Linked DNA regions of Lytechinus pictus. The protein of the gene in region 2 interacts with the protein of the main gene of each other region in a pairwise test. Links are inferred from orthologs where the notes say so. Each region holds a gene or a part of one and is shown on either strand. Other genes may lie near its edges.

Region 1 (7,675 bases), on a different chromosome or scaffold from region 2:
CATTATCAATTTTGTTAGAAAATTATTAATTAACCCATTAGTTCCATACCTGCTGCCGAGCCGTGCCTCTCTCCTCTCGAGTCTTTCTTGAAAGCAAACGAGATGGTGATCGCCCTGTTACACAGATACTGTCCATTCATAGCCTCGATGGCTGCGTCCGCTGCCTCAAAGCTGGCGAAGTTGATGAAAGCGTATCCCTTGGAGTTCCCGGACTCCACGTCCCTCATTATCTATGAGAGAGAAAGAGGAAACTTAGTATTGTTCTTATTTTTTTGTTTGTTTAAATATAATACTTTGATTAGTTTGTTTTTTGTGGGGAGAGAAAAGGTGAGCATTCAATAGTGGTCCATATAATAATGAAACACGATGTGAATCATCAACATTATGAAAGGTAGGCCCTTTGGAAGAATTAGATTTTCACAAAATATTCTGCAACTATTATCCTCATCCCTTATCCAAGTTTGAATAGGGAAAAATTGTTTGGGGTAACCCGATCAACCTTGCAACCTTGGTAAAACCTGCAGAGTGCAGACTAATATTTTTCAAAAATTCCAATTTGAACCCCCCCCAAAAAAAAAAGAGAAGAAAAATGTGCCAACAAGGCCCAAAAAATCCCTAATTTTCATACCATTTTTTTTTTTACAATTACACATTCTAAAGCGATAAAAAAAATTATAAATTGGCAAATGACAGTAGAACATCCTCCATATTCTGAACAGAAGACACTTGTGCCTAAAAAACCCTCAATCTCCATTAAAAAAAAATTTAGGAACTCTTTTTTATACCCGAAAAAAAAGAGAAAATACTTCAAGCATTAATAAGAAATACCAACCGACCCCAACCTTTTTCCCTTTGACGCAGCAAACCATTTTTTATGGCATTATATGAATGTAAATCAAGCTTTACCTTTGGTGTTTGTAAGATGACGCCAAAGGCACTGAATGTATCATACAGGAGCTTCTCATCAATCTCAGGATCTAGGTTACCGATGAAGATATTCGCTCCAACATCCAGGTTCTTCTGATGGGCCGATGCCTAATGAGATTTACATGGATCTATTAGCCACACAATATCATTGAGTGCGAGATACACAGCTTTCATGAAGTCAAAATTAATCCTGTTTTGATCTTCAAATTGTTAACAATCATTTATTTTCTACTCATTTTCATACTTAAAATAATGATGAAAGAAACGTTATTTTGAATAGTTGCCAATTTGCATTTTCAAACACTGATTTGTTATTACTTTTATTGTGTTGCCGATTTGGAGTGTAATGATTAGCTGGTAAATGGCTTTTATTCAGGACAGACTGTACCTTATACTGCAACGGAAATGATCTCATTTATTTTTAGGACATTTGTTCTTTCTTACCACATTCCATGTATCATTGCTAGCAAGCCATGGCGTGTGTTCCTTCAGCAAGAAATTTATCCACACTGTGCATGCTGCACTCAACCCAGGTGAGGTAAATGGATATACCGGCAAGAAGTTTTCCTCAAAAAGCTGTGTGCACCAGAATTGGTAGACTAGCTTAGCCGGGGTAATATAGGAGCGCCTTGAGCACCTAGCAAGGTGGATACGTGCGCTATACAAATCCTATATTATTTAAATATTATTCTAAGAGAAACGGCAAAATTGTGTCCTACAGGAGAAATTGTACTACCCATAGTTATGATAGCTTTGTGTGAAGAGCATATATTAATATTACCATGGAATAATTTTGCTTTACAAATTTCAATAGCATTTTTTGGTCATTAAAGAGAAAAGCTCTCAACTAGTAATGCACAGTCCTATGTAAAAATATGCTATACAAATGACTTCATGTGCAGCAATCTTTAAAAAATGTGGAGCAAACTGCGATGCGACACCAGGAAAATTATTCCCTGTATTACCATGGCAAAGCATTACCCTTCAAGACCAATGTGTGTGCAAAGTCTTGGCTGTGAGCTGAGGACATATTCTAAGTCAGTGGTGATCTTGGTCTCACCCCTATTTTGTCTACTGCCAATTTGGTTGCAGCCTGGATGATCTCATCTAGGCCTAGACTCATCAAATTTTATGTACGATCAATTCCTCTGATGACCTCCCGGTGGGTGTTTCACAAGTTACAAGAGAATTTATGAATGAGTGATGATCCATTATTGTGTTAAATGATATACACTAGAATTGCATCTATAGGTGTTGATATAATTCCTAAGAAAATATCACCGGTCGATCGTAAGGTAGCTGGTAACTTACAAACAGTTCTATGATATACCCATCTTGTCTAACTGCCACTTTGTCCTTTTTACCATTACGTCTAAATTCCTATTTAGGCTAATATAGGGGACAATTCAATTTTCTCTTTACATACAGCATCCAACATGGTATCAACTTACCTTATTCACTCTGACCGGTTTACCATAGAGCTTTATCATGTTCAGCACCTTGATGGCATAATCGGCATCCTCCTCCCCCATGAATTCCACAAAGCCATAACCCTGATGCGACTGGGTTACTCTGTCCTTTGGCATGTGGGTGTTTACTGAATGAAAAAGAAAATTTGGAGATGAGGTTGCTACTTAATACTAAGAACTACAAGTACATGTTTGCTGATTTCTTGAAAAAAAAATCAATTGGAAATCCTTTGGCTTTACACAGCTTCTCTTGTCATAGTTTCCATTCAATTTTCAATTTCCTATGGCTATTAGTGGATGTATTCTATAAATACTCATACTTCTCATTTACAGTATATAAGGGATGCGATTATTGTTCTTCTATTTGACATAGCTTACTCCTAACAAGCCATCAATAAGAATTCTAACTTTGTGTTTTCACAATGAAGACACCTTCATTTCTTCAAATTACAGCCCTCATTTCATTCCTTATAACAAGACTGAGACTTACCGACAGGACCGGCCTGTAGGAAGAGTTCCCATAGTAATGCCTCTGTCACCTTCTCATCCAAGCCTCCGACATAGACGGTAGCATCTGGATCATCAAAAAAATGACAAGCAAACATCATTTGTCATTTTCTTCTATAGTAATAACAACGCGCCTCAGAATAGAATAGTTCTAGATAGATGGCGCTATATAAATGCCTATTATTATTATTATTCAACTCAAATGTAACACGATGATGAATTGAATTGAATTGAATTGAATTTATTAGAACTTCACTGGCAATTGCCAGTATTTTGTTCATAACAAGGGCCCGAATTCACAAAGGTGGACTAAAGTTATACCCGGGGTATAAAACGCGTCATTTGACGTCATTTTAATCCATGGACTAAAGTTAGCACCTAGGGGCTAACTTTTGCGATTCACAAAGGTCGACTAAAGTTATACCGGGGTATAAAACGCGTCATTTGACGTCACGACTTAGTCAGCTCTTTGGGGTGGACTAAATCGGTGGGTTAAAGTTAGTCCACTGTTTTAACCAATCAGAGAGCAGCATTTCGATTGCGGAAAAGTTTGCTGCAAGAAAAAAGTTTTTTGGACAGAGACGAGATTCGGTGTGATCGGCTTATCTAAAGCTTCATATTTCACGACTTCGACCGAGATTGTAAGTAAATTACATAATTGTTGGAGCTTAAATCATGACGGAGCCTTCAGTTCCATCTGTAACTATTATTGATAGCTTTAACTTTCCAAAAGGTATACTCGAAAACTTGAAATGGTATCTGAATCATTGTTATCGTCGCGTCTCTAAGCTGCTCAGTCCCAGCCATGTACTTTTGTGTGCGTTCATATCTATGAGCATTGCAGTGCGAGACGCAATTAGCATACACTACACAGGCCAGGTAGGCGTGATTGAAAGGTCGATACTATTTGCTAGTTATGTCAGGCAGTGAGTGATTTTCGATTTCGTGTGATTTTCATGGATTTTTTGTTGTCTACGATACCCCTGCCACTCCTCCTGGCCCTGCCAACACAGCTACTGTGCATCTAATTTTGTCTGAGACTGAAGCAAGGCCAAGGCAAGTCCAGGAGAGCAGCAATACAAATAAGTTTTTTTTTAACACTACAATACAGAGCCGGTCTAACTTAGACATTCTACTCTGGGCTGGCTTTGTCTTGGCTTGGATAGATGGTCAAGCTATGAAGCTTACCTGGTAGCCATGTTAGAGTTAGTCCTACAACATCGTTGGAGTAAAAAAAATATTTTAATAAGGGTCAACTCTAACTTAAGCCTAAGGCTAAGCCCTGATTAAATTATTTTTTGAAAAAATATTTAAGAAAGATTGGGTTCCACTCACCGCTGTTTACTCCAACAGCTATAAATGAGCTGATTTTACTTTTACTAAAACTAAGTTTTACTGACCTTCGGCATTGCATTTGCGATCACTTATAGATTTACGGTGTCGTCAAAACATTAAAAAATAATGGAAATCCTAGGCCTAATTGATTATTTGAGTAGATCTAACTGAGGTCTAACTTTGAAAATTCTCTCTTTAGGGGGTTATTATAAACTCTACCCCACCCTCTTTGTTTCAAGTATTTTTTTTTCACAAGGAGTCCCAATGTTATATTCACATGAGACCACAGACAAGTGCATTTGATCTTCAGTCCTCTACATTTGTAGTAGACCGATAAATAGGTTTATTTCTGTCAGGGATATGCTCCCCTGAGATTTCATGTGGCTCCGCAGCATCCCGTCCCACCAAAAAAAAATCAGAAAATGTTGAACGACTCCTCTGAAACAGCGGATTTTATCAATCTACATTTGTAGCTGCTTTATTATTTTTTTCTTTGATATACCTTGACATTGCAGTATGATTGATGAATAAATATTTTTTTCATTATTTTTTTTCTTCCATATCAGCAACAGACCATACATACTCGGCAGATTGTGCTCAATCAAGACAAAGCAAACATGGCTCCAATTTTGAACTGCTGTGCCGTCTTGCAAGAGAGTGAGGTATGCCTTATCAATTCATATTTTAAAAAAATTAAATGTCATTAAAATGGCCTTTTTTAATAAAATATTATTTCTGGGATTTGAATTCATCATGTAATTGTAAATGTATCATGTGACATGTATGTTACTTTTTCATTCTTGTCATAGTAATTGACAAAAAAGAAGAGGGGGGGGGACCTTGCTTGTGTGTTATTAACATATATATTTGTCTACTGGTCACTAGGCTTGTTGATCTCCAATTAATCCTGACATTTTGTTGAATATTTATTTAAAAGAGAGAAAGAAAGCATTGTCAGTTTGATGAATGCCGGGGGGGGGGGGGGGGTAGAAAAAAAGGTTTAATGAGACTTTGATGAAGATTCATGAAAATATGTTATTCGAAAGTCACTCGCAAGCAATAACCTCTATTTGTGTAAACAAAGTTCCATAAAATTAGTGCCTTGCCTTCATTATTAAAGCCAATTGAAAGTGATTCAGTAAATCAGTTTTCATAGAAGCATCTCTATGACGTGCGTGGTTTGATCAATGATGATGATCAGCAACAATTGGCAGGGTTTTTTTCTTCACTTTTACAAGTAGGTAAATAGAAAAGCTACTCATGTCAATTAGAATTTTTATCCTTTCTTTTTTTTAAGGATTTCTGTATAATCTTTCACATTCTGTTCCTCATTTTAAACACTTTTGAATTAAATGAAATTCAAAGATAAATTGCCCATTCATGGTGACTCTTAAACACAATCTTTTAACTTCCATGCAGATTCAGCAACACATAGAAAGACCACAGCATGGATTAAGAGACAGGAAGAATCCATTTGAATACTACGAGGATGAACCTCTCAGAGTGGGGTACCAACAGAGAGAACCACACATTGCCTGTCATGTTACAGGTTTTGACAGGACTTTGTTTTATGTCATTGGTGAGTTTTCATGTGCGAACTGTAAAGCAGAGGGTAATTGGGGGGGGGGTCAAATTATGTTCTATGAAAGTGATTTTCCAGGCCAAAAATGATGAGATTTTGATAAAGAACAATTCGACTAGCAAAAACCATCAATATTGGATGGAGAATTATGAATTGATTCAGTTTTAAAGTTTTACATAACTTGGGGGAAACAGTTCTGTGTATCTCATATGCAATATTCATATCCCCACTTGTTCTCTAGTGATCTGAAATCATAATCATTATTTTTTTTCCTCCAGGAATGTAAAAATGGGGTTGACTGCTGATTATATATTTAAGATAGTTATTGCGAGTTCAGAATAATGTAAGGATCAAGGATTGGAAGTATCTAGTCATGAAAATTAAGTTTTATGTTTTGCTTAGCATGCAGATTTTCCATTGAGTAATTGTCGCCAGAGCAAATATCATGGAACCCTTGTACATTCATGTGTGGAAAATGTGTGGATGTGACATCATCAGGCTATTTCTTGCATATTCATGAAAACATGCACATGTTTCACAGAAATAATTAATGCAAAACCTAATATTCATTATTAATCATCCAAATTGTATGATTTTTGTTTCTGCTTTCAGCCAGGAGTACTAGTAACCCCTTACAGGGGAGGGGGAGTGTTGGGGGTATTTCACAGAAAGGTTTTTGTCGGAATGAAACATGTAACCCTTTGGGTTGGAAATAGGTGGGGATTTTATTTTTCTCTCATTTTTTACAATGTAGCAACATTTTTTAATACAAATATGTCATATTCAAGTGGGAAATTATCATGAAGGATGATTTATAACCACCCAAAAAGAAATATTGGTATGTCATTTCAGCTTAACAGAGATATTCTCCATTTTGCATGGATTGTTATTGCAGTAGAGTTTTTTTTTAATGAATCGAAGAAAAATCTCTTTAAGCAGTTCCAGTGCATCATAAACATCAGGTCATAACAGAAGCACAATGTTTGCAAACGTAAATGGTTAAGTATCAATTGGCTTTCATATCAATAAACCAATTACATAACATCACTTATCATTCAATAATTAAAGGTACCTTTTAGAAGATGCAAGCAGACGAAGCAACTATAAGTCATCCGTGTGCAGAATCATCAAAGATTTTTCTGAGGCAATAGCAAGGAGTAACAGTCAATGAAGTTTCCGATGACGATAAATTCAAACCACCCAGCGACAATTTGATGATTGCTACAGGTTTCCAAGAGTCATAGGTGCTATTGATTGGGGCCAATCCAGGCCATGTCTGCATCAGGAGTCCTGATGGGGAACAAGCCCTGTACTTAGCAGGAAGAACAGGTCTTCTGTAAATGTATAGGTTGGTATACTCACTCAGTTTTTAATGTGATATTCTCTGTATTCAACACCTACTAGAGGTATGTGATAATGAAGAAAAAATATATTGGCCCCTACTACATACTGTCTTTTATCAAGTTTCAATCTTGTTGTTGGTCAAATTTTCTTGTAATTTTATACTCTTAATATGTGAAATAAGACAATTTTAAAGATTTCACTGAAGAAAAAAATATAGATAATCTGCTAACTTTCCTATTGCAGGAGAAATGAAAAATAGAAGAAAAAAAATGCATTTTGCTTATTCAGGTAAAGGAGGTATTAATTTCTTGATCAATGAAGATATATTTGCAGAAAGAATACCGAAGAGCAAATTTTCTAATATTCATTTTGTTTTGATCCTTATTGCAGGTATCCGTTGCTCCCCTCTTTGATGAATTCCTGCCTGCATTCTGTTGTCAATAGAAAAGGACGGTGTGCTACGGGTATAAGCATTCCATTGGATTATCTGTGCATGAAGGTGGACACTTGT
Region 2 (7,482 bases):
TTTATCAAAAATGTTGATAAGTGTCTGAAAACGACGAATACGAGTCCAGTTATGGATAACCTGACGTGGTAAAATCTTTATCGATTCCATTATTTTATTAAAAAATGAATGGTTTTGTTGCATTTTACCAACAGTTTTTATAGTTACTGTGCATTACAATTATTATTGAATGATCTATCACACAAGTTTTTCAATGTAATTTCAACTTCTATTAATGATTACGTAAGATTATAATTTTCAAATTTCGAGGCACTTTCGCATGTCATAGTCTACCCACGTGAAGCCACTATGTCATTAAGAAAGAAGTTATGACAGGTTCAGAGTTGTCATAAAATAATATTTAGTCAGGTTGTTGTCCCCGATCTTGGCAGAGGGCGTCGTGAAACGGTAAGCGGACAAGTAGCTCACCATCTTCGATTTAGTCAAGAAGTTAGACTTATGACGGTGTTGAGAAACGGGCCCCTGATATTTGACTGGAATCACAAGCTTATTTTCCTATTTTTCAGCAATGACACAATTTCTTGCTGAATTTTATGACACAGTATCTTTTTCAGTGCAAAGATACACTTGGATGGTATGAACCCATTTTGAAATTGTTACCACAGAGGCATTTATCTTAGAAATCAAATGTACGTACAAGAACATTTATTGATTGATTTGGTTTGCATTTTTTCCCCCTGATTTTAGTGGCAATAGCATTGATTACTACTTGCTTTATCTATTTTAAAAAAAAATAACAAAACCCTTTACATGTACATGTACATCATGACATCATTTATCATTATTTTTAATTGAACAAAGAATAATTCATTCAATATTTGAAAAATAATGAGCAATATTTTCTTCCACCATACATGTAGACCAAATCAAATATTATTATTTTTCATCACAGAACATAATTGACAACAAAAACAAAAAACAAATGATCCATGTGTGAAGTTTTGGTTTATCAGGTCAGACATAATTTTTCTTATTTCTTTCTTAACTTAACATATTGCTATCTGCTATGGCATTCCTACAAAAATTGAAAATTTATGATTTGTGCAATTTGCCTATTAAAAGGAACATGGCTTTCAAATTCACTGACATAGGCATTTGTGATTTGATGATTATTCATGTATTCCTTTCAAAATATTCATTTTATCACATCCAAGATGAAGAGTAATAAATAGAGCCTTCATAATCACTGGTATTTGACAGTAGCCTAAACAATAGTCAAATGTGCCAAAGGCAGACAATAAACAGATTTCCAAACTTTATCCCTGATGTTCTATTCTAGTCACCTGGTCTATACAATGCCTTTTGCTCTTAGAATTTGAATACCGTACTCTACTACTGGTAAAGCTTACGCAACATCTACATTTGAAAATGATAGTGCTTATCCTAATGAAAAATCACAAAGGTCATTTGAGAAAAGTTGATCATGAGCTAACCGTGAACTGGCTTATTAACAGATGGGATACCGCGGAGCATATCAATTTTAAATCTGTCTAGAGTAAAACCCCCAAACATCGGACGATTCCAAATATCGGACGGAAATGACGTCAACTCGATCCTCCCCACAACTACAGGGACCTGCACTGGCGGGGGACTTGCATGCATTGAGATACATGAACATACCTACTATTGAACTGCACACACAGTAGATCCAGGTTGCTGCTCAAACAAATATTCCAGGGGTAAAATCCATGATTTTGACTTCCAAAGTGGCAAAGATTCTTATGACCCTCGCTAATTATGGACTCCAGAAGAATCTCTTAAGGGGAAAGTGATTTTCGCCGGAAATATCACCGCCGAGACCGCACCCATGTTCGATCTATCGCAAAAAAAAATCTGCAATGGCCGCTGCAGGGTTCCCCATGGCAGGAAATACATTGTATGGCACGATCCCAAACATCGGACATATCGGCCGATTGAATTGGAAATGCGTGAGCTGTTAACGCACGCGCGCTCATTTTCAGAACAAAGTCGCGCCCAGCTGAGCGAAGACGTCCGATGTTTAGAGCCGAAAGAGGTCCATTTGGTAAGTAAATTATTATTTACCGATTTCTATATCAAAATCATTGATAGAAATACCTTATTAAAATCGGCATTGCGCAGCTAAAATTATTTTATCAACAATTGAGCAATTATTTTGGAGTCTAGAGCGCGATTTAAATTGCCAAAATTGATCGCGGCAGCGGCGCACAACTCTACACGTCCGATAATTGGAAACTGCGTCCGATTTTTGGCAAAAAACAAGCTTCTGGTAGTAAGTAAATAATTTCCGTTTACCATAATTTTTTCAATTCTATTTTCTATGACATTAATCATGTTAATATTCAACATTTGTACTACGGAATTAACATGGCTTTTATATGATTCAGTAATTGCATTTTTGTTACTTTTGGTCATATTATTAATTTTTTATGGAATTAGATCTATGCTTTGGAGTTTTTTTGAAGTGTCAATATATATATTTTTGGGCACACATTACAATTTACATGATGACTCCGGCATCCGGCATATTTTTTTCAATTCTATTTTTTTATCATGACATTATTATTAATATTCAACATTTGTACTACGGAAACAGACATGATATTTATTTGATTCAATGATAGCCTATACACTGCCCACACTCCACAGTCACACTAGTGCACCACAGCCTCAGGCTCAGGCCAGTGTGGTCACAGGACACAGCCCAATAATAAAGCCAAGGAAAGGCCTCATCAGCTCAGTCATGTCACTCAGTGGTGGCAGTGCTCACCGCTCACAGACAGTCACACATCCGTCCCCACTCACGCAGGTCACATCAACGAGTGCAGTGGCAGGCTGGCAGCACATCGATTTGGAAATCATACTCACCAGTAATACTCTAATATTGATGAAATGTTTAATAAATGACAGAGGTCCTTTGAAAAGGGTGAACGAAGGGGGATTCTAGTAAAAAAAGAAGTTAATCAACTCAGCTCGGTTCGATCCGGAGACAGAAAGTGGACTCGCCCATCTTGCTACATGTAGAACCTAACTTAGAGGAAATGTAACCCACCCACCTTTATAGAAAGCGCAAGTTTGATTGGTCAATTTTCTGAGAATGTGGAATTATTACAAGTTTCAGAGTAGACACGGAATGAATGATACTAGCTACAGACTTGGCAATTCTGTAATTGAATCATCTGATACACACATTGCACAATGAAATATATTATTCGATTTATAAAACATCAAGAAAACAAGCAAATCAGTCTTCAATAAAAGTTCTAACGTTAGCACGCCCCTTCTATACGAACCAATAGAAATCCATGTAACAGCAGTAAATAATCACAATTATGACCTTTGACATATATCGTCTGCTTACGTTAAGTTACTGGACTTTCGGTCAATTCAAGCAGAAAGCCAGAAGTGAATATTCATGATGAAATTCGTCTATTGGTCAGTAAGATCAGACGGTCCGCTCATAAAAAAAGAACTTTTACTTGGGAATGAGGTGAGTGACGTGAATCTGTAAGTTAAGACAGAATTTGAATCGAACTATGGGAACTTTGATTTGATTTTGATGATGATTGCATCCGTGTAAGTACTACTAAGTTATGTGTGTGCGTGCCTTTGGCTTCCGCGCCCTGCACTCAACGTGTCATGGGACTTGGCATGCATGCTCTGCCTTTGCTCGCCGCGCCGGCGGCGCGGCAGCCGCCGCGGCAAGGCCAAGGGCGCAGCCGGGGCCGAGGCGGTCCAGGACATAGCTGAGTGAGTGAGTGAGGGAGGGAGGGGTGACTGAGGGTTGGAGGGAGAAAGTCAAAGAGCTGGTAGGGAAGGAGTGAAGGAGCATTGACAAAGACATTGTTTTGAAGTTCTTTTTTAACTAATAATGTTAGTTGTTATACTGACTGTAACTGGTAAAATAAAAAGGATGGAGTGATTAATTTAAATTCAAATGCAAATCATGACGTAGACATCTGCCAGCTGTCTGTTTCGAGGAGTTTTTTAACATTTTTTTAAATAATAAATTTCTCCTCGTACACAGACGGCTCGCTATCGTGCAGCCACCATAGTAGGGGGTAAACAATGCAAAATCCCCCCAATGGGGCTCATCAATTTTTGTCTTTATTTCATAAATATACAAATTACAAGGAGAACTGTATACACCTCCACTCCAGTTTAATAAACTCTTCTTGGACTTGGACTTGGAGTATTTCGGAGGAACATCATACCAAGTATCCGTTTACGTGTTTTGGCCTGAAATGCACCAAAACGGGGAAAACTAAACTTAAAAGGGGAAAAAACAGTGACTTACTTCGGCTGTTGCGCAACTTCACTTCCCTGTTTTATCCGAACTTAATACATAAACATATGGCCATTGAGTCCCTGTACAGATCGAGCTAGAACTTTGGTCTCTGTATTTGGTGAGTGGAGCCAACGGAGTTCAGTGGAACAGCCAACAGACCGAAGCTTTTGGTCTAATCATGAAGCTTAAATAGCTCCATGGTCTAATCATGACACTGCATGGACACAACTAAATTATCCTGCTCACAAATTTCTGAATAATTGAAAAGGTTACCTTCTTCGCTGATTTTTAATTAATGCACTTCTTTAGCCTAGGTGGGTGTTTCATGAAAGTTGGCAGCACTAAAAAGTTGTCTTTCTCCTACAGTAACCATAGTAACAGTCAGAGGCTTGACACTGCATGCATGGACACAACTAAATTATCCTGCTCACAAATTTCTGAATAATTGAAAAGGTTACCTGCTTCGCTGATTTTTAATGCACTTTAGGTGCCAGGGTGTTTCATGAAAGTTGTCAGCACTAAAAAGTTTCTTTCCCCAACAGTAACCACAGTAACAGTCAGAGGCGGGAGCTTCTCAGCCAATCAAAAGCGAGGCTTTCACTAAAATGGTCAGCACTGACAATTTAGTCAGGGCTGACAACTTTGATGAAACACCCACCTGGATGCGAAATCGAACGATACACAAGACCAGCATGATGATGATCAGAGCTCACTCTCTCACAAGTCATCACTGGGACATAGTTTGCACGTGGGACAGATAATGTTTTGACATATTAGCCACAAATTTATGTTTTCAGTCGCTTATAATATCAAAATTAATTCCATATAAAACCATGAATATCTTGATCGGGAATTTACATTTATATATCCTGTACAGTATCCAGTAAATTTGCCTTTTTATAAAGAGGCAAATTTAAGTTTGAAGAGGAGGCAAGCGTAGCGTCGTAGGTTGACTATAAAATAAAACTATATGTTTGAAGAAAAGGAATGAAGGGAATAACTTTAATGTTTTGATATTTCTATATTTTAAAAATATTTTGAAATATTTTGGATAAAATTAAGAAGTGGCAAAGTCTGTGGCATGGAAGAAAAACCAAACTCACTATTTGGATTAATACTCATTGTTGACTGAAAAAGGCAGAGAATCGAGATCGCACAGTTCAGTGAGTCAATATGCCTAAGTTTTTTTTTGCAAGATTCACTAAATTGCCAGCCTATTTTTCAGCAGACCCAGACCTATAAGTTGTACACAAAATAAATAACAGACCATGAAATACTGATTTATGATCAATAATATATGGGAAATAATAAGATGGCAAATATAGCGATCTTCAACGCTTATATATAAGCGTCGAAATTTGTAGCCATCTCCTTGTATTAGTCTATAATATACGACGTGTCAAATTGTCAAATCCAGATCTCCTCTATATATATATATACCAGGGGGAATTGTAGCGAACTAGTTCGCTATTTTCCAGATCTCCTTTATATACAAACGACGGGAAATTGTAGCGAACTAGTTCGCTATTTTCCAGATCTCTATATACATACGACTGGAAATTGTAGCGAACTAGTTTGCTATTTTCCAGATCTCTATATACATACGACTGGAAATTGTAGCGAACTAGTTCGCTATTTTTCGGATCTCCTAGATATGTACACGAGGGGGAATTGTAGCTATTTCCAGATCTCTATATAAATACTACGGGAAATTGTAGCGAACTAGTTCGCTATTTTTCGGATCTCCTCGATATATACACCAGGGGGAATTGTAGCAAACTAGTTCGCTATTTTTCGGATCTCCTCTATATATATACGAAGGGGCATTGTAGCGAACTAGTTCGCTATTTTCCAGATCTCCTCTATATACAAACGACAGGAAATTGTAGCGAACTAGTTCGCTATTTTTCGGATCTCCTCTATATATATACGAAGGGGCATTGTAGCGAACTAGTTCGCTATTTTCCAGATCTCCTCTATATACAAACGACAGGAAATTGTAGCGAACTAGTTCGCTATTTTCCAGATCTCTATATACATACAACTGGAAATTGTAGCGAACTAGTTCGCTATTTTTCGGATCTCCTCTATATATATACGAAGGGGCATTGTAGCGAACTAGTTCGCTATTTTCCAGATCTCCTCTATATACAAACGACAGGAAATTGTAGCGAACTAGTTCGCTATTTTCCAGATCTCTATATACATACAACTGGAAATTGTAGCGAACTAGTTCGCTATTTTTCGGATCTCCTAGATATGTACACGAGGGGGAATTGTAGCGAACTAGTTCGCTATTTCCAGATCTCTATATAAATACTACGGGAAATTGTAGCGAACTAGTTCGCTATTTTTCGGATCTCCTCGATATATACACCAGGGGGAATTGTAGCAAACTAGTTCGCTATTTTTCGGATCTCCTCTATAACCTTGAACCTTGAAGAAGTACTCTCCCAAAAGCGTACACGCTGTCCTGGAGAGGGTTGTGCTATGTCAGGTGCTGCCAGTGCTTCAGGTGATGTGGTGATCCTGTGGTGGTATTCTTGGTGCACTATATACAGTGTGCTAGGTGCAGTGTGCGGGTGGTGCGTGTGTGTCCCTCTTACAGCATCTTAAGGGGAGGGGGAGGCAACATTTGCTGAATGATAGGCAATGTTGCTCCCCGGAAGCCAGGTATAGAGGTCGAAGTTACAGCAGCGTTTGGGAGAGTATTCCAAATACGGATGGTTCTTGGGAACATACTGTACATGTAGCAGTTCACTCTACAAAAAGGCTGGGTGTACTTGAGCTGATGTCCAGTGTGTTGTGAACGTTGTGGACGAGAACTGCTGCTTAACTTAATCTGATGTGGCATGTTGATGTAAACATAATTGTGATGAATTTTGTAGAACATCTCACATTGGCTAAGAATGCGTCTGTGTTGGAGAGTATCCCAGTGAAGAGTTGACAACATCGATGTTACACTGGATTCTCTGCTATAGTCATGAAGGACAAACCTAGCACCCTGACGCTGAATGTTCTCAATAATGTTTGTACATCTTTCTGTATGTGAGGATTCCATGCACATGAAGCATACTCAAGTTGTGGTCTGACAAGTTGCTTGTATGCAATGTCTCTCACTTTCAGGTCACATTTACCCAATGCTCGACGTATGATTCCAAGAGTACGAGCAGCTTTGGAGGATATCTTCTGTGCATGGGAGTTCCAACTCAGGT
Region 3 (6,868 bases), on a different chromosome or scaffold from region 2:
TTTCTTATTTCAACATGTTATGTACAACAATTTAACCATGGAGTAATACATGTAGCTCCATGTTTTAACTATTTCTTTCTAGGGCAGCAAATCAGTATTCAATTCAAGAAATACAGGCAGCCAGCATCATTAATTAAACTTCCACTACACTGCTTCAATTTAATCCACTTATCTTTGGTCATCACTTATCTGCAGATAAAGCTGATAAACTAAATTTGTCATGCAAAGTTCATCAGAATGGCATGTATCCTAGGATTATAATTTACAGCATGAACCTGTACTCAGATAATGCAGATTGGCAATACATGTACACTGTAACATGTACATGTACACTGTAACATGTACATGTACATGTGCTCTGTAAAGAAATCTGCCAAAGGAAAACTAAGCAAAATTGCAAATTAACAACATTTATTCTAATCTCATTCTTTTTCTTTTGATTTCAACCAAAGAAAAAACATGAAATGTCCTTTCTTGCATGGGCTGAGAGCTGTTTGTTTTTCACCAATGGGCAGATAATCCAGTTAAAAAATAGAGAGTGAAATAATGAACAGGTGTATAAAATCCCTGAAATATATGAAATAAAAGAAATTATGGTAAATGAATAGGCTTAAATAACTTATAAAACATGAAAAATAAGAGGCTAAAAATATGAAAAAATCAAGAAAAATTATATCGAATACAGAAAACTAAAAAGAAAGGTTGTATAGAAATCATCATTTACATGTAAATGTAAAAATCAGCAATATTTAAAGGGTCTCCAGGAATTTTCCAGTCCCCATCAGGCATCAGCTTCGAATGCTTTTCAGATAGTGATGAATTTTAAAGGGGTACTACAGGATGAAAATAATATAATTTGAAAATTTCATCAAAAAAGTTATTTCAATTCAAACTTTTGCATGTTTCTAATAGCGGAACAGTTCTACAATGTACATGTATATGCCTGGCAATGAGCAAGCTGATATCATACATGTATCCCCACTTTTTTCTATTATCATTATGAAATCGTTTCTTCAAATTTTGTCCTCCAAGAATTGAAAAAAAAATATTGACTATTGATTCAATATTTCAATGTGTAAGATAATTATTGCTGCAACTTATTTTGTTGCATGGGACTCTTGGGAGACATACATGTACCATACTCATATATGAAATAATTATGATTTTAAGAAAGTAAGGACATGACATCCGCCCATCTATTGCATTTTCATGACATCATGATGCCATAAATTCTAGATTATTCAACTAATTTCATTTTTTGTGATCAGATTTTGATGGAACTTTCAGGGTTTTGTTTGCTTAATTTTACTCTATTTAGATTATTTTCAGCCCGGAGTACCACCAGTAAGACAGGTATTTTTTGGAGAATGACAAAATTTGTTATTCTATCTCATTATTCTTGGGTTGAGCTACAATTCAATGGTCCTCCCATCTATTTATTTCATTGCAGTTTACTGAGGCCTACCAGTAAAATACACAGTAATAAAATTCTGATCTGAGCAAGTATAATATTCAGGTGCAAGCTTTTCGATATATACAGTAGTGCCCACTTGCCATCAAATCTACTTGACCTATGAAAATTTAGTTTGTTTCTTTATTGCCGAAATTTACTTAGGTCCCATATCAATAGAATTTACGCTGTATCAATTCAGAACTGGAAAAATATTTTTTTCAAATAATTACACTGTAGCTATCAAGAGCAGCATTTAAATGTGTCTACAGGTGCTACATTGTCGGCTTAGCATAGAGTGTGGCTTGATGCTATTACCAATACACACACAAGTTAACTGATGGCATAATCATGTGCTCTATGAAGACATTATACCTTCACCTCACTCTGTACTTTCATACATGTACCTCCGCCTCGCTCCACACTTTTTGGATATCCAGCATTTACATGTAGGATTTTTGCTAAATTGAGGAGTGCATGGCATATTAGCTAATGTAGCTACTTAAATTGCCTGGATTCAGTTCATGTTTGAACTGAATTACAATGTATATGTAGATGTTGTCTACACAAAAGCCAACAAGAAAAACAAAATGTATGTGTAAACTTTCAAAACAAAAAAATTCTGAAATGAAGGAAAATCTTCAATAATTTAGTCAAACTTGTAACTAAAATCAACAAATGCATTAAACACGATACAAACAACAAAGTCTAGTGTGAGCAAAAAAAACTTGACACCTCACGAATCCCCAATGTACATTGTAAGGGAAAATATGTTATTAACACATATATGTAGCAGTGTAGCCTAATTATTATAATATAAATGGCCTGAAGAGTCAGGACTCCAACATGTCCAAGGAGGCAATAAACCTAGTATTTTAATTACATTTTTATGATAAAAATGAGTAAAATGTGATTTGCCTGCTGCTCAATTAGGAAAGATTCCTGTTCTCAAAATTGTTTTTAAAAGAACGAATTAAAACTTAAATCTACAATAAATAAAAGGTCAAATGAAAACACCTGGCTGTAACAATACATAGGTCAATGTACAGTATATTAACTTTATACTCACTTGAGTCTTCCCATCTTGATTTCTTCTGATATGACTTTACTCTGTTGTTAACTAGTATAATACATGAGAAGAAGACCACTGTTTATATCCAATGAATATTCCACAATGTTTAGAGGTAAAGGTGGCGAGGACATAGGTGGCACAGATACTTCATTCTACTTGTAGTTGTAGTATAACAAAACACAGCCAATGAGAGAATCCTCAATGTGTAGTACTTCCCTGTGCTAATACAATACTGACTGACCAATAGTGCAGTTTGTGTATACAAAGTTTTAGGATGCTTCAGTAACCCCCCAAAACCCATGCAAATAACTTTCTCACATACCAGAGTGCTTAGGTTGAGATTAGAGTATTCAAACAGTGGGGGAGCATTTCAAATGGATTACCCAAGCCTGTCTGTGTTTTGTATGTATGCATGGTGAGCTACACTAAGCTAAATTGAGGGATGTATGGTCTACAGAACAATGCTTGTCTGCCATTTATCCTACAAAAGCTCTGCTTTCATGAAACATTCTGATTTTGAAGGTGACTCATAATTACACTGCACTTCAATGAGTGCACGAGCAATACACTCTTTGGATAAACACAAATTAAGCAGTTGCTAAGTTTCACATAAGCTTAGGGCTCTGAAACACCCCTAAAACAAAATGGTATGTGCATTTACTACTCCTAATGGACCATCCCTATGGGGGTCATAACCTACCCCATGAAGCATCTCAAAACTATGCAATCATTTCTATATGTACATGTACATGTATACCAAACTGGAATGAAACTAAAACCTAATTTCTGTTCAATCCAGTCTCAAATTGTTTATTCTAACGGGATTACCTCAACACATTCCTGGAATCACATAACTCCATATTTAAGAGTTTTAGGGAAATGTTTCATTTTGGGGGGAAACACTGCATAAACCTGGTGTAAACACACATTTATTACCTCTTTGAATCACTGAGCAGTCAACAAGCCAGGTGAGGGGGTGTGTTATATTCAATTCTACAAACAGATTGTCACTATTCATCAAATGGATTAGGTTCATTCTAGGAAAGATCAAAGGCTAGAAGTCCTAAAACCATTCTTTTACAGGAATTGTTCCCTCTATAAATCTAGTCTCAGCTCTTAAAAGGTAAATTGAGATATAGGACACAAATACAATATGCAGGTACAAGAAAATAAGCCCCACTGCATTGGGCAATTTGGTGGATTATAAACCAATCAATATCTTTAGGGGTTGATAGGATAGATATCAAAGACCTCCTTGCCACAAGGTATCAAATCATCGCATTATGTTTTAGACCTGCCTACTATGAGAATGTATACATCTGTTTTCATCTGAAAGGACTATTAAAGTTACTTCAATATTTTATTCATTATACTAATTTTTTCAAAAATAAACTTTATCCTATTTTTTCAAATTTCATCTTGAGTTTATAAATGCACATTGATCAAAATGAATTTTATAAGAGTATTCATTAAAAGACAAACAAAAATAATAATAATAATAATACTTCTCTTATATAGCGCATAATAAACTGAAAGTTTCTCTATGCGCTTTACAATAAAGGATACAAAGTACATATACTACAAACAAAGAAAATAGACTTGTGAATTACAGAATTACTTAATATTTCAACTTACAAAAAAAAAAATGATGTCCAGGTACAGGTATTTCTTTCACAGGGGAAGTTCCCTCTGACATATAAGTTTGTTATAAAAATACCGGAAAAATAATAAGAAATATATTTATGAAGGATTGAGGAAAATCAATTTAAAGATTGTTATTAGAATTTCAAGTTTTCAATTTGTGACATCATGGAGCTATTACAGAGAACAGCTCCATGGTGACATCATATACAAGCAGCTGTCTCACATGTATTGCCATGTAATATAAAATGTATCGATTTCAATTTTTAATGGGAGATGGCTAGAAATTTTCTTTTTTCAGGAGTGCCTGTGAAATAGATTGTTGATCAAAATGAAGGTACAATAAACCCTTCACCATACATGGGAAGCTGCTCTCATGTGATGTCTCAAATAAAAAGAAAATTCTAATAACTTTATAAATCTTTGATGGATTTTCCTCAAACGTTCTCAAATATTTGTTTTTCTATTTTTACAACAATCTGTTTATCAGTGCATGGACCTATTTCCTTCAATCCATTGATCTAGATCATAATGGTATGCTCCCAGCACTCCTCAAATATAGGGAGTACGTACTATCCACAAAACTTCAAAAGGGTATAAAAGTGACAAAACAAATATGTGAAAATTTGTTAAGTCCCAAGGAAAAATCATGACAAAATATCACATTTTGCTAGACAAAATTTAATATTCATAAATTAATAAATATCCCTCCAAAACTATTTTACCCCAAAAACATTAATTAAAAAGAGGGTACTTTTGTTAAAATAAGATACTTTAACAAAATGTCAGATGAAATGTTTAATATAGCCTATAAAAGCCTGGTAAAAGGTCAATAATGTGAATTATAATCAAAATGGTGATTTTCCATGGATTGCTTTAACTTCTCGATTTAATATTTCAAAATGTATTTCCTGTGGGTAGTGGGGTTTATTTTCCCTCCACATCCTTGTCACATTTTCACTCCTTTATGAAGTCCTATGAAAGCAAAAGCAAAGGTTTCCAAATGAAAACAAACTCTTTCATGATCACAGAGGGCAGCAAATATGACCAAGGTAAAAACAGCATGATTTTATCAGTGAAGTACAATGTTCAATTTGTTAAAATGTCATTGGAAATTAGTTGGATGTCATTCCATAAATTCCTATTAGTATCTACAGTAGGGTTTGACTGTAAATTCTAGTATTGTAAAGTTGTACAGTAAACATCATTAGCCTTCACAAAATACCTTCACATCATAACAATTTGATACTGTTCTCTTCCATGATTTTGTTAAGAATATAAGATGATAGCTCCTGAAAAGTTACGGCAAAGTGTTTTTGCCTAAAAAACACTCAGAAAAAACACACACAGCTTTGGGGGATTACCCACTTTGCATATTTTACATACGTAGGCCATCATTACAAAATGCATAGACTTATAATTGAAAAATTGTTGTTTTTCAATTTGAAAAAGATATTAGTGCATCATAATCATTGGCAAAATATGAATGTAGATACATGTACAGACTTGTACAGTATCAAAGCGTCATGTAAACTTGAAACACTATGTACACAACTATCTAAGTAGAAGGTACTATCATCAACATGTAAATATGCCTACCGGTACATGTAATTTGTAACTGAACATGGACTTTGAAGTTTGAACATGAAATGTAGACCCAAGGCCAAGTCAAAGAAAACAAGAAATCTTTGAAAATTGTGTTGAGGTTTAATGAAAAAGAATCATGAATTGAAGCAACTAAGATAGATTAAATTGATTCAGACAAGAAATCACACAAGATATGACCTTTTCATATAGGAACAACCATACTTCTCCATGGCAAACTGTCAAGTGTCATTGATGAATAACATTATAAAACCAAGTACGGTAGCAATGCTAAACTTTATCAAGTAATGATCGAAGGTCATGGCATGCATAATTCTAACAATTTTAACATGAATTAGATCTATCTAGATTCTACATTTCTAGATCTAATTAGAAGTTAGAACAGAAGATTGCAGAAATTATGGATCGCATATCACATAGACCACAATTTTTTGCTTGCACATTCTATTCAGAGTCAAAGTCTTTAGAAAAGAGAACTTTCATTTTTCATATTGAGATTCGTGTACCGGTACTAACGTTAAAACTGTCTACCGCCGTAAAAAAAAAAGTACCGGTATACGGTACCACCTCCCAGGCTCCTGCCTCTCTAAATCCGCGCCCTCCGCCTCCGGTACCGTATACCGCATAAATACTTGTCGGCTAATTAGGCTAGATCTAATTTAATACTAACGTTAATTAGTCTCAGTGACAAATAAAAATCTGAAATTCGGCTAGCAAGAAAAATACATACCTAAATATTAAATCTGCTGGTTTTATCCTCAAGTTGAAGTTCCGAAAATCCCTTCTATAAAAATTGATAAATTTAAGGGCTTATCTCCTGTGGTGTGATTACGTAGCTCAGTCATGGGTTCATGGCATGGGTTATCTTCTGCTGATATTTCTTCACGGTATCTTATTATCGGTAATATCATATATTACCGGTACACACGTACACACATACACACACACAACGAGTATACCATACAACAAAGCCATACACACACAAAAACACTTGCATCGCGATATGGCTGTGCAAAATTACGTGCAATATGCAGCATTCTGAAAGGGTGGCCGTGGCGCCGCGTTCTTTTGCAGATGATATTTTTCAGCAGCTGCTCTTT
Region 4 (7,260 bases), on a different chromosome or scaffold from region 2:
GATATAATTATCGTACCTTTGTCTGCTTGATTTGGTTTCTAAAACTTTGCAAACCGATCGTACGCAAATTAAGGTCACACTTTTTTATGAAACTTTTTCAGCCGAGCGCGCACTAGTCGATCGCCATGGAATTTTAAGATCGCGATACCCTAAGGGGGTGTTGCAAGAAAATGTTTGCGATCAATCGCAAATATTCTGTTGCAATTTACAACTGATAGATCAACGTTAGCTGTAGCAAATCAGATTAAACTTCTTGTTTCAAGGAGCAGATTAGCAATTACTAATTTGCAATTAACTGCAAGACATATGATAGACCAAAAGCTTCGGTCTCTGTAATGTTGGTTGTTCAGCTGAACTCCGTTGGCTTCACCCACCAAATACAGAGACCGAAGTTCTAGCGCGATCTGTACAGGGGACTAAATGGCCATATGTTTATGTGTATTAAGTTCGGATAAAACAGAGCAGTGAAGTTGCGCGACAGCCGAGGTGAGTCACTTTTTTGTTCCTTTTAACTTGATTTTCCCCCTTTTTTGGCCATTAATGCCAAGAGGGAATATTAATTTGCATTTCGGTCGCGTTAATTTTCAAAAGTTTGATTCATTAAAGACAAAAATTGAACTTAGCCCCGATGGGGGGATTTTGCATTGTAAGTCCCCTTATGGTGGCTGCACGATAGCGAGCCGTCTGTGTATGAGGAGAAATTTAAAAAATAAAAAAATGTTTAAAAACTCCTCGAAACAGACGGCTGCCAGCTGTCTAGACATATGATTGCTTTAGGGACCAAAAATTGACTTGCAATTGATCGCAAGTTTCTTGCAACACCCAATAATACTGCGTTCAGAAGCATCCATATAGGTATAGGTATCTTTAAATTACTAGAATTGCGAAGATATGTATGCGCGGTCAGCAGACACATGGTTTATCGCGAATCGGCAAATATTAACAAAGGAACCTGCACCACAAAGCATGATGGAATGAAAAGGGGGCATGCATAGACCTCTAACGTTAGACTGCAGCTGCATGTGCGCAGAGCTAGCTACACGTGACGTAGCTTGCCCCCTTTTCGATCCCACGACGCATTGCGGTTCTGATTAGCAATAGACCTTATTCATTAATTGTCATATGCAGGCTTGGTCTAGTCTTGAGGACGCAATGATGATGATTTTTAAAATAATGAAATATACTTCTTCATCATTGACGTCTTGACACTCTTCCCCCAGTCGCATAAGAGAAGGACCATAATAAAGATGGATTTCCCTCGGAAATCCATCTTTAGAAACAAAAATCACTTTAATTGTATTGATTTCATTAATTTTCACACCTTCCTACGCCTAATGCGTAGGAAGGTTTTAAAAATTATAACATGAAAATGTGAAAAATTTAAGGTTTCTTACCTAACTGATGCTGAGTAAACCCCTCGATCCACATGTAAACAACGTAAGTACAATAGCGTCGACCCTTGAACCACTTATGTATGACGTACTTCTGGCTAGCAATGCCGTTCTGATGAATAATTTATAGAAAAAAAAATTATTTCGCAAATGTTAAAATTTATCACGTAATTAAGAATAATTGGTATGAAACTGACAATTATTTTTAATTTACGTGATACATTTTAAAATTTGCGAAATAATATTTTTTTTCTATAAATTATTCATCAGAACGGCATCGCTAGCCGGAAGTACGTCATACATAAGCGGTTCAAGGGTCGACGCTATTGTACTTACGTTGTTTACATGTGGATCGAGGGGTTTACTCAGTCTCAGCATCAGTTAGGTAAGAAACCTTAAATTTTTCACATTTTCATGTTATAATTTTTAAAACCTTCCTACGCATTAGGCGTAGGAAGGTGTGAAAATTAATGAAATCAATACAATTAAAGTGATTTTTGTTTCTAAAGATGGATTTCCGAGGGAAATCAATCTTTATTATGGTCCTTCTCTTATGCGACTGGGGGAAGAGTGTCAAGACGTCAATGATGAAGAAGTATAGGCCTATTTCATTATTTTAAAAATCATCATCATTGCTAGACCAAAAGCTTCGGTCTCTGTTATGTTGGTTGTTCAGCTGAACTCCGTTGGCAAGCTTCACTCACCAAATACAGAGACCGAAGTTCTAGCGCGATCTGTACAGGGGACTCAATGGCCATATGTTTATGTACTTAAGATCGGATAAAACGGGGAAGTGAATTTGCGCGACAGCCGAGGTAAGTCACTGTTTTTGTTCCTTTTAACTCGATTTTTCACCGTTTCTTGGCAATTAATGCCAAGAGGGAATATCAATTTGCATTTTGGTCGCATTAATTTTCAAAATGTTTATTGATTAAAGACAAAAATTGAAGAGCCCCGACGGGGGGATTTTGCATTGCAAGTCCCCTAATGGTGGCTGCACGCTAGCGAGCCGTCTGTGTGTATGAGGAGAACTTAAAAAAAAAAATGTTAAAAAACTCCTCAAAACAGACGGCTGCCAGCTGTCTACATCATTGCGTCCTCAAGACTAGGCTTGGTCATAGTCATACGGTAGATCTACTAATTAAAAAATGTTAGTGTCAAGACTGATTAATGTGTTTGTCGTCACGTCAGTGAGATAGATAGGCCTGACATCTTGTCACCTGTGCAGTGGCACTGGCACAAACACAGTGCAGTGTGACTGTGTGTGTGAGTGGCATGTCAACTGATCGACGGCCGACCCATGGCAACTTACCATTATTGCGATTATTTTGGGAGCTGGGATTCGGCGGTGCTGAAGTAGTCTGTCCCATTTTTTACCCTGATAAAGTAGACTTCAATTTCAAAGTAAAATTTCAAAGCAACTCCTCGCTCTCCTGATCCTTTCTATACTGCATTCGATTTGTTCTCCCATGTTAATTAACGGAAGAAATCTCGATCTTCATAAAGATAATATACCGGTACCGGTACACGTACGTACACAGTACAGTACAGCAGGCTGAAATTCTTGGAATCGGGATCATATATTCATGTACGAAAAGTGTACCTCGTACGTACGTACGTACGTGCGTGCATATATCGGTACGGTGTACGATCGCTGGGTGTGTGCGTGTAAACATCGCACCGGATCCGGAAAGCATCTACGGGCCACGGCAGTCAAAAGGTGATCTCTTCGTAGCCTGGCGCTTAGCGCACGTAGCGTAGCTAAAATAATTAATCAAGATGAAAATAATTTCAATCATACTATCATCAAAATTCCAAGGTCATTCAGACCATGATCTTTAATTGGATGTCATATTGATAGGCCTCAGCTCAGTGGCCTTGTATGTTTTTGGCACTCTTTGAATTTTCTCATTTATGTAAAAATGTGCCCTTTTAGTTTTATTATCGGCAGTGCCCTAAAACTAAAAGTAATTGAAATTTACGGGCCTGATGGAGGCCTATAAAATAATGTGCATTATTAGAATATATCTCTATGAATTCAATGAATTACTACTAATTATGCTTTATTTCTATCATTATATCCTCTCTCTCATCTAGTATGAGTATGACCACTTTTTCTTGGAATGTGATCTCTCTCTCACACAATGACACTGCATTCGTAGGCCGAATTAATGATGACCATTTCACTTTCGATCTCTTATCTCATATTATGACAATTTTCTGTAATTTCGATCTCTGTCTTTTATGACCAATCTCTAAATTTCTTCCACACTGTGGCCACTCTGTCTCTTATTTTGACCATGATAGGTCTATATATCCCTCATTATGACCACTTTAGTGCTCTCTCTCTCAAAATGACATCTTCACGCCTAACTATGACCACTCATATACTATCATGACCACTTTCTGTAAATATGACCCACTAGCTCTCCATCATTATAGAATGTTAAAACAATGGTAATATCTCATGTTCATGAGGAACAAAACTTGTTTTACACGGACAATGAGGTGAAAATTAGAATATTTCGTATTTCATATGATAAAATACAGAACTTTAGTGGGGTGTCATCAGCTCCCTCATACCAACCAGGATGCATAACTGTTTGGTGAAATCAAGTGAAACTTAGAAATGTCATAGCTTCGTTATTTAAAATTGGATTTTGATGAAATTTTCAGTGTTAATCTTGTTGGATTTTTCACTTATCATTCAAATCAACTTTGTGTAGGGTTGGACTTTCTTCATCTGACCATTCTTATTACCTCTCTCAGTATGACATCCTTCTCTTATCATGACCACTCTTCATACTTTAATAAATAAATAATGACCATATATACTGTACACTCTCATTATGCCCACTTTTTATTTCTCTCACAAAAATCTCCTCTATCACACATAACATTCAGTCTCTTCCTACTTACATATCATATTCACTCCATGCTATAGAAGGAAAAGTTTTTTCTTGATAATTTTACTTCTTCACATCGTTTCCCACTAATATGGGTACACAATTCACAGATAAATTCAAAGAAGTTTAAATCAGCAGTATACTAGATTTAATGATATATACCACAAATATTATGATACAACACATAGATTATAGACATGATTACATGCAGAGGCAGTTTGTAGCATATTTGCAGGCCTTAATACAAATTGGCAAAAGACAGGCCTATATATATTGGGAATAAATTACAATGCAAGAAATATACCCAATGTCATATGGGTTGTCTGTTCAGAAGATTAATGGAAACAAGCAAATTTTGACCAAACCACTAATTTCTCTATTATTTCCAATCATTGTTTGTGTAAGTGTAAGAATAAACCATGAAATTTAATGCATTAGGTTACATACATTGATTGCCTTAGGCAACATGCATGGATTGCATCACAATAAAGCAGCACAATATGTCTTATGATTACATATTTGCATAGTTAGTTCAGAAGAAGACATAAGGCAAACCAATAGACTACTTTCATTCAAATACTGTCTCAGCCCTTCCTAAATTCTTTACAGCACAGTCTAGAAAGGCCTTGAATTCCAAACCCAAATTGACCAAATTTAAGTAATAGACAACTTCAATTAATCAATCAATAAATCTAACATTGGAATTTTATAATCATAAAACTTGGTTGAAAAAAAAGAATCATTATGTTTTATCAAACTTGGATATCAACAATATAATAGAATAATCTCACATGTTTTGAAAACAAAATTTCATATATTGCAGCTCTTGCTACAGAAAGAATGAGAATGCACGATTACTCTGCAAGGAATGTGCAAGATCAAAATAAATGAAGGGAAGGGTTAGAAACTTACACACTGATTATAAGCAAAAGGATAAGTAATATCATCATTTTAGATTTGCATGTTTGAAAGTTAATCAATATTCAAACAGCAAAATAAAGCCAATTCATTACTATCTTTCTGATAATAGCCAAAAAGAAAAGTAATTAAAACTTGCACTTGAATATTATCTAAGATATAGTTGACACACACTAAACAACTTTAAAACCCTTTTTAAAATAATGCCCTGTATGTAACATATGCATAAACATTTTATATTGCTTGATTTCATCAGTTTGTTGCTTAAATTTCTACAATCCTTTATCACATGATTTTGTAAGAACAGATATACACCCCAAAATTTTAGTTTGAAGTGATGAATAATTTTCATTTTTACATACCAGTTAAAAATAATGACATTCCTTTTCAATCTTTAGACATAATAGAATGAACATTCATATGGATACATTTCACATATGAAAGAATCTTTGCACTGAGAACAAATAGCATTTAAAAATCTTGTATGGTTTGTGTCAGACCATTAACCATGTGTAAACACTATAGATAAAATAACCCTCATTTGGGTCACTTCTTGTCTGAAAATATAATTTTACTCCCTTCTGCAGAAAAAAAGGAAAGTTCCTTTTTTCTGAACTCAAAATTTTTAGGTTATCCAGTTTTTTTTTTTTTAAACCAAAATTTGATTTTTGACAGGCACTGTTTGTGTGAATGAGGGGGGGGGGGGGGTTAATGGAAGAAAAAAAATGTCATCAAATTCAGGATTTATAAAAAAAAACAAGATATTTGAAATACAAACAAAATGTTCAAAGTTATGGAATGAACAAATAATATAATAAAAAAATACTCCCAGAGTTTCATTATTATACAAATAAGGCACCTTTCAAGTTCTCCTTTGGCAAATACCTGGAAATGTATATTATAAAAAATATAATTACTATTATTTTCTTGTCTTAAAAAATAATCAATTTAAAGCACAATATGTGACAACTCTCTGAGTAACAATTTTATACAAATCAGTTCCTTGTTTTTACCCATATTTTTATTCATCACACATACAATGATAAACTTAAAGCTAATTGAGTAAAGCAGGAATACAAACAGCAAGCTTTGGAACCTTCAACCAGCCACATAATGCATCTTAAGTATAAAGATAATTGAAATATATTAATAAATACAATAGAATAGCAACATAAACACTTTAATTTCTACTCGTTAAACAATATTAGTTGGTATTCTGATAGCCAAGGTTTAGTTAACCCTGGGTTAACCTAGACCACACTTTTTTATGAAGTGCCAGTTGTCAACTTAATTATCATGTAAAAATAATTATCATCCAACAACAATAGAAAAAAAATTGTCATGAAATGACAGGAATGGGAAAATAAAAATTTCAATGTACAACTTGGTACATTATATTTGCCACGAAAATTGAGGAATTATCACGATACCAAGCATCGCATAGAAGTGTGGTCTAAAATTCAAGTTTAAACAAGGGTTATCAGAATACCACTCACAATGTTTAATCTTTTCTGTTTTAGCAAGTCAATGGCATCATGGATTGTGAACTCAAGGCAAGACGGCATGCTATGAAATGCAACTTACAAATCCATATAACAGAAATATGAATACCTAAAGATTAAAAATGGAACTGAAGCTTAAATTCAAGCTAAAAATATGAGGTAGGGGCTATCAAGAATAGGTATGATTTCAGCGTTACTGTAAGATTTATATACAGCTTCTATAAAAGCTGCTATCTGTCATTAATTGAGATATTGATATTTATGGATGCTTTCTTCCTGTTAACTTCCTGATAGAGTATTAAAACCATCACTAGTGGTAAATATTGCTGATTGAAAAAATGCATTGTAGAATGAAATCAATGTCAAGCTTCTGCTATTTGTATACCAATTTTGATCGATACTTTTGATATTGCTGTAAAAAATGGAAGGGTCATATGCCAAAGGGTAAATTCCACAGTTCATACTGCATGTGTGGGCAGTAGCTAAATGCATTTGTAATTGCATGTACTGGTTCGGAGCTTAAGCTGGCTAAATATGGTCAAT

Evidence for each region.
Region 1: the proteins of intersectin-1-like (region 2) and splicing factor 3B subunit 4-like interact in a two-hybrid assay, tested with the Caenorhabditis elegans proteins (2 studies listed by BioGRID). The link is inferred for Lytechinus pictus from reciprocal best matches to the Caenorhabditis elegans genes itsn-1 and sap-49.
Region 3: the proteins of intersectin-1-like (region 2) and protein numb-like interact in a two-hybrid assay, tested with the Caenorhabditis elegans proteins (2 studies listed by BioGRID). The link is inferred for Lytechinus pictus from reciprocal best matches to the Caenorhabditis elegans genes itsn-1 and num-1.
Region 4: the proteins of intersectin-1-like (region 2) and E3 ubiquitin-protein ligase NEURL1B-like interact in a two-hybrid assay, tested with the Caenorhabditis elegans proteins (2 studies listed by BioGRID). The link is inferred for Lytechinus pictus from reciprocal best matches to the Caenorhabditis elegans genes itsn-1 and F10D7.5.

The regions. Positions count from the first base shown.
Region 1 is NC_087258.1:12,072,113-12,079,787, reverse strand, and holds the start of splicing factor 3B subunit 4-like, read right to left. Parts: upstream 3,002-7,675; coding exon 2,887-3,001; intron 2,525-2,886; coding exon 2,379-2,524; intron 1,036-2,378; coding exon 907-1,035; intron 231-906; coding exon 50-230; intron 1-49. UniProt on the Caenorhabditis elegans protein: Subunit of the splicing factor SF3B required for 'A' complex assembly formed by the stable binding of U2 snRNP to the branchpoint sequence (BPS) in pre-mRNA.
Region 2 is NC_087248.1:26,509,456-26,516,937, reverse strand, and holds the start of intersectin-1-like, read right to left. Parts: upstream 3,025-7,482; 5' UTR 2,848-3,024; intron 1-2,847. Other genes in the region: quinone oxidoreductase-like protein 1, read left to right, coding at 3,395-3,469.
Region 3 is NC_087251.1:3,401,052-3,407,919, forward strand, and holds the start of protein numb-like, read right to left. Parts: upstream 3,008-6,868; 5' UTR 2,534-3,007; coding exon 2,520-2,533; intron 1-2,519. UniProt on the Caenorhabditis elegans protein: Involved in the tethering and targeting of pkc-3 to modulate the intracellular distribution of the kinase.
Region 4 is NC_087256.1:2,719,449-2,726,708, forward strand, and holds the start of E3 ubiquitin-protein ligase NEURL1B-like, read right to left. Parts: upstream 3,010-7,260; 5' UTR 2,762-3,009; coding exon 2,704-2,761; intron 1-2,703.